Linked DNA regions of Arabidopsis thaliana. The protein of the gene in region 1 interacts with the protein of each later gene in a pairwise test. Each region holds a gene or a part of one and is shown in the gene's direction. Other genes may lie near its edges. The genes, in order: NAP1;1, IBH1 and MYB72.

What was found.
Region 2: the proteins of NAP1;1 (region 1) and IBH1 interact in binary tests that used the Arabidopsis thaliana proteins (3 or more experiments, as listed by UniProt).
Region 3: the proteins of NAP1;1 (region 1) and MYB72 interact in binary tests that used the Arabidopsis thaliana proteins (3 or more experiments, as listed by UniProt).

What each region holds. Positions count from the first base shown.
Region 1 is NC_003075.7:13,230,423-13,234,182, forward strand, and holds the start of NAP1;1 (nucleosome assembly protein1;1), read left to right. Parts: upstream 1-2,145; 5' UTR 2,146-2,289; coding exon 2,290-2,335; intron 2,336-2,457; coding exon 2,458-2,501; intron 2,502-2,696; coding exon 2,697-2,792; intron 2,793-2,952; coding exon 2,953-3,045; intron 3,046-3,197; coding exon 3,198-3,288; intron 3,289-3,381; coding exon 3,382-3,443; intron 3,444-3,532; coding exon 3,533-3,717; intron 3,718-3,760. Other genes in the region: CK1 (casein kinase 1), read right to left, coding at 11-86. UniProt on the Arabidopsis thaliana protein: May modulate chromatin structure by regulation of nucleosome assembly/disassembly. Contributes to the regulation of cell proliferation and cell expansion. May function in nucleotide excision repair (NER). Involved in somatic homologous recombination.
Region 2 is NC_003071.7:17,907,112-17,910,829, forward strand, and holds IBH1 (ILI1 binding bHLH 1), read left to right. Parts: upstream 1-1,895; 5' UTR 1,896-2,135; coding exon 2,136-2,606; 3' UTR 2,607-3,099; downstream 3,100-3,718.
Region 3 is NC_003070.9:21,020,351-21,024,110, forward strand, and holds MYB72 (myb domain protein 72), read left to right. Parts: upstream 1-2,033; coding exon 2,034-2,172; intron 2,173-2,257; coding exon 2,258-2,387; intron 2,388-2,408; exon of another isoform or gene 2,409-2,472; coding exon 2,473-3,094; 3' UTR 3,095-3,237; downstream 3,238-3,760. UniProt on the Arabidopsis thaliana protein: Involved in metal ions homeostasis, including iron ions (Fe) acquisition, via the regulation of NAS4 and NAS2 genes expression. Necessary for plant survival in alkaline soil where iron availability is greatly restricted.

The sequences.
Region 1 (3,760 bases):
AGAGACGAACCGAGATAGATCTCTCCAAACGAACCACTACCGATCTTTCGGCCGAGACGAAACTTGTTCCCCACACGAGGTTCCATAAATAACCACGAAACCCCTTGTACAATCTTAACAACCCAGACGCAGATTCAAATAGAGCGAAAGGGACCCCAAAAACAATCCTGACTAGAATCAGCCGCACCAGCAATCCAGAAAAACAACCCAGAGATCACGAACAATGAGATTACGGATTTTTCGCCGACTAAATCAAAACCCAGTAATCATCTTCTTCGTGCTCTCGATCTGGTGAAAAAACTCCATATGAACAGAATGTCGTTTTCTGGGATGCTTCTCTCTCTCTCTCTCCTCTCAAGAATTGAATACGAAGATAAAAAAAAAAAAAAAAAAAAAGAGCTTCGATGGACAGAAAACGATGAGGATGTCTTTCTCAAAGTTTGCGTCTTTTTTTTTTTCCTCTTTCCTTGCAGTTGCGGGTAATGTAAAAAAATTATTTACCTCTGAATGATTCCGGTTTTGTTGCTGTGTGCTATGTTCGGTTTGGTTTCTATGCTTCGGTTCAACCAAACAATCTAATGATTATGGCAAGCAGAATAGTAAAATAGAAAAAATGTGTAAAACATCTATAGAACACATATGTATATACATGCTGAGCATCTTTAAATCCACAAAAATACTACTATTTGAGCCGAATCTACCAACTAAACTAAACCTGGTTTTAAAATTATCCGGTTTATTTGAGAGTTTCAACAACAAGCGCGCTTAGACCATCATTATTCATAGTTTATAAGGTTAGTTCTTAGATAAAGTAGGTCTTAAATTTAATGTTATAATTCAATTAATTGTTAAAAATGACTCTTATATAAGAGCCAAATCTAATGTTTCTTAGGTTAATTCTTAGATAAATTAGGTATTAAATATAATGTTTTAATTCAATTAATCTTAATTCTTAGATAAATTAAGTATTAAATCTAATTGTTTGTCATATTTGTTTAAAATTTTATGTTATGTATGTTTCAAATTTTTTGAGTTGTAATAATTATTAAGTTTTTTAAAATTATAATGTTTCTACTTTTTTTCCAATTTTTTTTTTAAGAACTCAAGTTAAGAGTCCACCATTGCATATTGCCAAAATTTCAATCTCTTAACTAAATTCTTAACTTCAAAATTTTCAAAATCAATTATAAAAATATTCATAAGAACTATTAAGATTATGCTAAGAAACTACTATTAATGATACTCTTATGATGGCTATATGATATAAAAAGATTGACCACTTACCAGGTGTGTTTGCTACGCGTGACTTGAAAGCTCTACAAAATGTTTCTCTTAAGTGGGAGTCGTGGAGGTACAAAAAGCTTTTCACCTTTGCTTTTAATAGGATGAATGAAATGATTTACAGTTATCTGATTAGGTTGAATTTGTCTCATGGTTTTCTGGTTAAAAAAAAATGCTACGCGTGAGGCTTCTTTATTGTGTTTCTGGTCAGACGTATAAAAGGTTGAAACTTCAAATTGAAAATGTCGTGATGAGCTAATCTAGATTAGAGTACGTTTAATTCGTTTGAACTCGGGATGAGCTTAAACCAAACTAAAGATCTTTGTGCCTTTTGGGATATGACTTTTTGTTGTGGACTGTTTTTTTGTTTTTGTTGTGGACTGTTTTTTGTTTTTAATTAGTATGTACAGTGTATGTGAACAAAAGAAGTAATCAGTGTATTGGGCTTGGAAGGCTCATTCTTGGGATGGGCCTTAGTACTAACAGATTCAGAAATCTTCTATTTGATCCCATTAAAGTTCACTAACCTGTACTGTATTTGGTGAAGAATCAAATATATATAAGTGTATATATATATATATAAGTATATAGATAATTAATATAATTACATGCAAAATTTTAATTATATAGATAATTAAAGTTTATATATTAGTTATATATATTTATAATTGATTGAATTCATAAATAAACTTTAATTATCTATATATAAGTCAGTTCTCATTATCCATATATATATGTATGTAAAGTTTTGCATGTTATTTAATTCAATAAACTTAATTTTGCTTTTTAAAACATTAAACATCAATTTTTAGAGAAAGAAAAGTATATATAAAAAGAGAAAAAACTAAAATGGCATTTGTTATAATTTTGGTGTGAAAAGGAGGGAGAGAAAAAAACAAAAAAACAAAGAGGATTTAAGGGTTACGAGTCGCCTCCCCAAAACCCTTGTCCCTAGTCTCTTCTGCTTCTTCTTCTTCAAAATCTCTCTCTTCACCAAATCCTCAGAAGATGAGCAACGACAAGGATAGCTTCAACGTCTCCGATCTTACTGCTGGTAAAATACTCCTACTCACGATTACTCTTATCTCTTTCTCCGCCTCTTAAGCCAGAGCTGCTTTAACCCTAATTTCCTCTGTTATCTGACTGGTGTTCCTTTTGTTTACTGTTTTTTTGCAGCTCTTAAGGACGAGGATCGAGCTGGCCTTGTCAATGCTCTAAAGGTGAGTTTTTTTCCCCTTCTGTAAACTGTCCCGTGAGCATTTGCTATTGAAAGATATGGAGGATGTTGAGTTACTTTCCTCTGATTGTTTAGATACTATAAGCCGTGTCTTGGTGTTTAGTGTTTTGGTTTCAATGTCATTCTTCTAGTACAATGATAGTTTATGAGTTGTTAATACATTGTTATTAATTCACAGAACAAGCTGCAGAATCTGGCTGGTCAGCGTTCTGATGTGCTCGAGAATCTGACTCCCAATGTGAGAAAGCGCGTTGATGCCTTGAGGGATATACAGGTTAGCGAAATTTCTTTCACATTTTACCAAACTATGTGTGCTATATATCGTTTAATGGGGTTTGTTTTGTTTTGTGTGAGTTTTCTCCCTGCTTATCTGAATTTAAAGTTTCAAAAGTAAGGTGTTGCGTTTTGATTACTGATGACTTCTTTCCACGCAGAGCCAACATGATGAACTAGAGGCAAAATTCCGTGAGGAGAGAGCTATTCTTGAAGCCAAGTATCAAACGCTGTATCAGCCTTTGTATGTCAAGGTAATTGTTAATGAGAAAGTTTTACAAACCATTTTACTAAACTCAATGTAGATCTGTGTATACTCTTTTTGCTTATGTTTACTTATCTGCAGCAGTGTTAGTTTTCTATGTGCATCTTAATGAATTCTACTTGGTATCTTGTAATGGCACAGCGTTATGAGATTGTGAATGGCACTACTGAAGTTGAACTGGCTCCAGAGGATGATACCAAGGTGGACCAAGGAGAGGAGAAAACTGCAGAAGGTAACTTCATGAGCACTATGTCTTCTTTGTTTGTTGTTAATCTTTTTGGAAAGACAAAAACAATTTAACATTTTTCTCTGTTTTTCATTGCAGAGAAAGGAGTTCCAAGTTTCTGGCTGACAGCTCTGAAAAATAACGATGTTATTTCCGAGGAGGTAGCCTATATGCAGTTTTGGTGTTCGTTTTATAAACACTCCAATCATAACCATGGAATATGAGCATAACTTATTGTCATTTATGTCAGGTCACAGAGCGTGATGAAGGGGCTCTCAAATATCTTAAAGATATTAAGTGGTGCAAGATTGAAGAGCCTAAAGGATTCAAACTTGAGTTTTTCTTTGACACGAATCCGTATTTTAAGAACACTGTCTTGACAAAGTCTTATCATATGATTGATGAAGATGAGCCACTGCTTGAGAAGGCTATGGGGTAACTACTTATACTCTCTTGCAATTGTTGTATACTTTTAAGT
Region 2 (3,718 bases), on another chromosome or scaffold:
CAACGACTTATTATTAAATTAAGAAGAGAATCAAAGAAAACGAATGGTGTAGTTAATATTAATTGAATAATTAGAACAAAAAAAAATTAAAGATAAAGATAAGAGAGAAAGGAAAGTGGAGGTGGGTAAAGGCCATAGCCATGTGCCTTCATGTGGTGGTTGGCCCATTAGTGGACCTACTCTACCACTTCTTCAACTCTTTTTTAGTTCTTATTATATGATTAACACCTTCTTATTCATTTGGTTTCACTCCTAATATCAACAATTTTGTAAATTGTTATTGACCCGAAATTGTTAATCTTTAAACGTATTTTTATGATAGATGTGAAATTTGAAACCTTAGAGAAAACAGTGAGATTTAAGGGATTTTGGAGCTGAATCTTGAAAAAAGATAAATATGATCATGATGATGTTATACAAAAGAATTAAATGGCGTGAAAAATACGTCCGGCGGCAAAGCGGTAGGGGAGAGAGTGATTAACACAAAAGAGATGGGACTAATGCTAAATTATAGCCTTAACCAAACACTTATCGTATTCCTCAAGTCTCTCTTCTCTTCTTTTATATTTTCATGTGTTGTCTTTTCTAAATTGGTTAGTAATATTTGGTGTATATAAATTGTAACGTCATCTATTGGTCAAGCCAATTGAATAATCTCATATTTTGTTGTTGCTCTCTTGCATGGTGAATACTTTGTTATATATCTGATCAATTTTAAACACGTTTTATCTTGATGATGCGAGTGGCTAATTGATTAAGTTTATTAACACTTTATATCGTCGAAATAATCATAGTTATTCTCAGGTTCAATGGTGTTACTTTCTAAACTAACGTATAGTTCAAACTCAGTTTCGAATAAACATCCTCAATCAGTCGTTTCACGAGAGTTGGATTTTGGCTGAATTTTGTTTGTGGAAGTAAATATCGAGCAAGTAATGAATCAATTAAATTGATATTTTGGGTTTTGTTATTTCTTTTGCCTTGAAAATGAGCTTATATGTTTTCCACAATCGATCATATTCCATCTTAATCGTCATTAGTTGTCAACTAATGTTAACATAAATACATACATATATGTATATAGCTTACCTAATTTTATCATAATAGTCTCTATTAGCTGTTCACGTTAATGAATTCATACGCATTCGTCACTAAATTAACCTTTTATAAAAACAAACAAATAAACATAATAGTGTGGTTGGAATCTAATTCCATAATCTGATGTCTGCTCTAAATTGCTCTTTTTTCCGTTAATACCAAGCTATGAACCAAACGAGCTTGATTAATTTGCGTCTAGTACTTAAACATCATCCGAATTATTATTTTGTTTTAGCTAAGATGTATACGAGCATTAATGCTATATATATTGTATTTGGGTGTAGTATACATTAATATTTCAAATTTCAAAATAGTCAAATATATATACCCAAAATAGCCAAGTTCTGTTAATCTATTGGCATCAACTTTTTTCTTCAAGCTCCAAAACATCGTTTTCCACTAATTGCCCATTTATTTATTCAAGACTTTATAACACTAGGTGTAAATTATACTTTTCCGAAATACATGGGTTATACAATTCACATTTCATTTTAAAATTCTAACACATAATGATATATTTACACATCTAAGTAGCCACCAGTAAGCAATCGATGTCAAACCACTAAACCATAACAGACGAATCTACAAAAAATTTGAACTAATATTAGTAAACCCCCAAAGTTAAACATAGAACTGTATTTATTTGCTGTTCACCATTGAAGAAAACTGCCACTTATAACTTCATATTCTCATATTTTTACGCAACGTAACTTTGACGGACCAATTAAGCTCCAAAATTCAATATTTCAAAGCTATTAACACATCTTTTTTTTTTTAGAACATGAGTTATAAATAGTTGAACCTATAGTTTAAATTTAAACTTTATAGAGAATTTGAATAGTTGTGTGTCTTGTGACATAAAAAAACATAAAGAAAAGTTAAGTACAAGGAAAAATAAACATTATTTATTCCTCTCTATCTCTCTCTCTCTCTCCACCTTTCCATTTATATTAACCCTAATATTGTGTCATTCTCAAAAAAAAAAAAGTTTTATAAAGGTTCTCAACTCAAGTTCTCTTCTCTAAAAAACCCAAACAATGGCCTCTGCAGACAAACTCATAAACACAGATGTCCCTGAAAAGGACGTTTTTGCCTTCCACTTCCTCCAATCCCTCTCAAATCTCAGAAAACAAAACCCTTTTGATACTCCGGACCAAAAAAACTACCGCGTGAGGAAGATCAAGAAGGCTGCGTACGTTTCCATGGCCAGAGCAGCCGGAGGGAGTAGCCGGCTATGGAGCAGAGCCCTCTTGCGTAGAGCAGACAAAGATGACAACAAGATCGTAAGATTTTCAAGGAGGAAGTGGAAGATATCATCAAAACGGAGGAGGAGTAACCAGAGAGCTCCGGTGGTGGAGGAGGCGGCGGAGAGGCTGAGGAATCTTGTTCCGGGAGGCGGAGGAATGGAGACGTCAAAGCTGATGGAAGAGACGGCTCATTACATCAAGTGCCTTAGTATGCAGGTCAAGGTCATGCAGTGTCTCGTTGATGGCTTATCTCCCAAATGATCATCAATTAATCATCAACATCATCATCAATGATCGATGTATATAGAGATACGACACATACATAGTCTATTGGATTGGGGTAATCATAACGAATATATATGTGTATATATATATATATATATATATATATATTCTTATATATATACATACGTGTAAGATAGGATACATATATGAAATGTGTGGATATGTATTAGTCTCGAAGTAACGAAAGATTTTTTTCTTTTTCTTTTCTTGAATTTTGATAAAAGGGGATTTATTATTTATCATATGCTATGGCCGGTTTAAACATTAGGGCTTGGTAACTTGCCCTTGTCATATGATAAAAGGGGATTTATTACTTATCATATGCTAAGAGAATTTTCTTTCTTCTTTTCTTTTAAGCTATGCAATTTACTTGGTTCCTCTTGATTGTGTTATTCGTCAATGATGTTTCTATGGATGGATTATATATATAAAGTTATAACATATTAGTTATAAGAAAATTATAGCGGAATTATAACTATCATAAAATATACATTCTGTATTTATATATCTCCTATACATATACGACTGTTTATGTTTTTGAGAAAATATATGATAAATCTAATAATTTTAAAAATATATATTTATAGAATTATGAATCATTTAATTAAATGATTTTTTTTTGTTTAACACGGAGTTACTTGAATAAGTCTTAAAAATACTTGACATTATATAGGTTAAAGAATTTTGTAGAATATATATAATTTAACTCCTTTTTTGTTTTGTATAACTCTTTTTTCAGGTAAGAGAGATTTTTTTTTTTGTATAACTCTAACATTTCATGATTTATGTCGGATTGAATTCAAATGGTCGCTCACAACAACATTATTAACAAAAATTACAAGACTCTGATTACTTGTTTTCTTTATAATCACATTTTCCGTTGGAAGGATTATCTACACGTCTTATTTATGCAGTTGGTCATACTTATATTTCATACGAGTGTCCTACTTTAATTTGTCAATTATTATACACGTGTACGTAAACAGACAAATTGGTCAATTCCACATATTTCACATCAAATATCTGATTCGTGCATTCGTTTTCGTCAGAATTTCATTCCATCAGTCGAATAATATTTGAACAAACTT
Region 3 (3,760 bases), on another chromosome or scaffold:
AACAAACTATTTCTATTGTATATATCTAGACGTATGTGATACATATATAATGTGATTGCCAATCATTACAAGTTTTTACTTAGACCCACACATGCTACGTCACGTTTTAAAACTTTACCTTATGTCCAATCTCTTTTATCGATATTTATTTCATATGTATGTATAAGATATTATATATATATATATAGGACCCTAATGTGTTTATAATATATATCCGTATACGTACGTACAAAAGAAGTACGTATGCTGATTTTGATTGGAAGTTGGGAATGGAAGCATGGATATTATTCGTACTTCCACACATTTTATTAGCACTTTAGATTACCTCATATTACATTTAACCTCACTAAAAGGTAAGAGTTACGAGACTCTTGCTTGCCTAACGTATGCTAAAAGGTATTCATGTATTATGTATTCATGTTTTTGTACATCATGCATTAAACCTATATAAAATTGCATACTTACGTATTTATATAAAGTAGATAGCATATGTATTATACGGATGGAATGATCATTAGTTTTTTTGCGCAATCTTACATCAGAGCCTTGTGGCGTGGATTTGAAGTCTAACCATGCCATGCCATATTTTAATTTATGGAAAACACCAATATATAATTTAATCATCACAACTTATAGTCTAAACAACTACAAAATTAATCATCATACATCATGATTTGGATGTACAACTTCGTGTTTAAACTTTTATTTTATTTTTCTCTTTCAAATAAGGAACTTTGCGTTCTGAAGTGGTGTTTTAAAGATAAGTCATTTATGAAGTCATTTATACGTTAGATATAAATATTTTGAAATTTTATGAAGTGGTGTTTTAAAGATAAGTCATTTATGTTCAGTTTAAAACGCAATGTCTATATATACCAGTATTCTCTAATTACTAATAGAAATGTGAACTTTCATTATTCTTTGTATTAAAACTTCATAGCAAAAAAAAGTAAATAATATTCCCTCCACATCAATTTAAGTGATGTTTTAAGGGTATTTTGTTCTTGATTCATTATAAGTGATGTTTTCAATTTGTTAATATCTTAATTTTTTTGGCTAATTATGTTTTACATCATGTTTTTGTTATTGTCTGAAAACTGAACTTAATGATGTTTTTATGTAAAAGAGATAAATTAAATGAATGTCTTGTGTTTTCTTAATTTATGCGTAAAAACCTTAAACATTAGATACAAAGTGATTAAGAAGTAAATAAAAGGAGTAAATAAGAGTAAACTTAGATGATGATGATGATGATGTGGGTTGAGTTTTATAAGAAATACGAAGACGAGTAAATAAGTTAATAGGCTAAAGAAAAGGATTATTGAATTCTCCTTCTGAACTAAATGTCAAATAATAAGTGTCAGGATTAATAAAAAATAAACTGATCTGAATTAATTAGGATTACAGTCTACAGATTTATTCTATTTATTTCTCCAATTGGTGTTACTTTTGTTTGTGGCATGGCCCTTGTGGTCTTTAACACACACGCACACAAACAACCGCTCTAAAGTTTACAATATACTAGATTTCTACTCGCTCATATCAAAATCTAAAGTCGAAAATCTTTTTGTATAAAATATTTAAAACTGAATAATCAAGAAATGTATCAAACTATTTAAATATTTCCGTGATGCTCAAATTAATATACATATTTTTCGTAACTCGTCAATGAATCATGCATAACTTGTTTACACAATTATACTTAATGGACACTATGATCTGTACACGGGCATATGAGTAACAAAAGAAATTTAAGAGATTACTAGTTAAAATCTGCCGTTAACTTCCGTACGTTCCATGCTTTTGGGTCTCTCTCTACGAGTGAAGTGCCTCAAATAAATAAGAGTTTTATTGAATGGAGTGGAAAATCTAATCTCTAACTAATAATTATAAAACATCTTCTGACGTAAAGAGCCGGGTTATATCAATGATATATATATAGGAGCTCCTGATAATAATCAAAAACATAACATTGCATATATAGAGAAAGATATAGTGAAGGTAGCTATAGAGAAGAAAGTAGTGTAATAAGAATGGGGAAAGGAAGAGCACCATGCTGCGACAAGAACAAAGTGAAGAGAGGGCCATGGAGCCCTCAAGAAGATCTCACTCTCATCACTTTTATTCAAAAACATGGCCATCAAAACTGGAGATCTCTTCCCAAGCTTGCTGGTTAGTATTTATTCACATGCATGTTTCGGTAATACTATAAAGTTTTAAATAACTAAGAGAAATAATGATTGATATATATACATAGGATTGTTGAGATGTGGGAAAAGTTGCCGACTAAGATGGATAAACTATCTGAGACCGGACGTGAAGCGAGGCAACTTTAGCAAAAAGGAGGAAGATGCTATCATTCACTACCATCAAACCCTTGGAAACAAGTTTGTACTCTACCTATTCATCTAATTTCTTTATAATAAGACAATATATAGTATGTAGAGACTAATTGATATATGTGATCATCAGGTGGTCAAAGATCGCGTCCTTCTTGCCGGGAAGAACTGACAACGAGATCAAAAACGTGTGGAACACGCATCTCAAGAAACGACTCACTCCATCTTCTTCTTCTTCATCCCTCTCTAGCACTCATGACCAAAGCACAAAAGCAGATCATGACAAGAACTGTGACGGGGCTCAAGAAGAAATACATTCAGGGTTAAATGAGAGCCAAAACTCAGCTACTTCGTCACATCACCAAGGCGAGTGTATGCACACAAAACCAGAGCTTCATGAGGTTAATGGACTCAACGAGATCCAGTTCCTGCTCGACCATGATGACTTTGATGATATAACCTCTGAGTTTCTTCAGGATAACGATATCTTATTTCCGCTAGACTCTCTTCTTCATAACCACCAAACTCACATTTCAACCCAAGAAATGACTCGAGAGGTAACCAAATCGCAATCATTTGATCATCCTCAACCGGATATCCCATGCGGATTTGAAGACACAAACGAAGAATCCGACTTGAGGAGACAGCTGGTTGAATCAACCACACCTAACAATGAGTACGACGAGTGGTTCAACTTCATTGACAACCAAACTTACTTTGATGATTTTAATTTCGTCGGAGAAGTATGTCTATGAATGTCAATAATATATGCATGACCAGTGTTGTATCCACTTTTGAATGTTGAGTAAATTACTATTTTACATGGATTGCCCATGCATTGAGAAGATGCTATGTTTTATGAGAGCTCTATGATATTGGTTCGTTTTTCGGCTAGATTCACACAAACAACTCTTCTCTTTTCCTTCTCGATCACTCTTATGGCTGCTCTCAGAGTCTCCGTTTTCAGAGGCCAAAACAGGTCGCAGGTTGATGGCTGGCAATGGCAGCATCGACTGCTTCCGGTGTGTCGAGATCAGGCGCCACACCAAGCATCAAGTCCTGAAATCGAATTAGGTGTGTGTAAGTTTCTTAGCCTAGATACAAACAACAAGAAATATGACTCCAACTGTACTCATCATTTCAATCACTTGATATTTGCTTCCTGTAAGGGCTTCAATGTCAAAAGCTTCTGAATTATCCTAAGTCCATACATATTTGAGAGACTGAGACGGTCTCAGTGAGACCAAACAGAAGAAGAAAAGAAAAGAAAAAAACAGAACAAATACTACAAAGAATACACAAACTTTTGATTCTTGCTCCAACCGTTTATTAAAGCACATGACCTGTTTGGGATCATCACATATCACACTAGAATCACAAAAACTACAAATTTCACAGCTCCGAGCACGCAATGATTAACA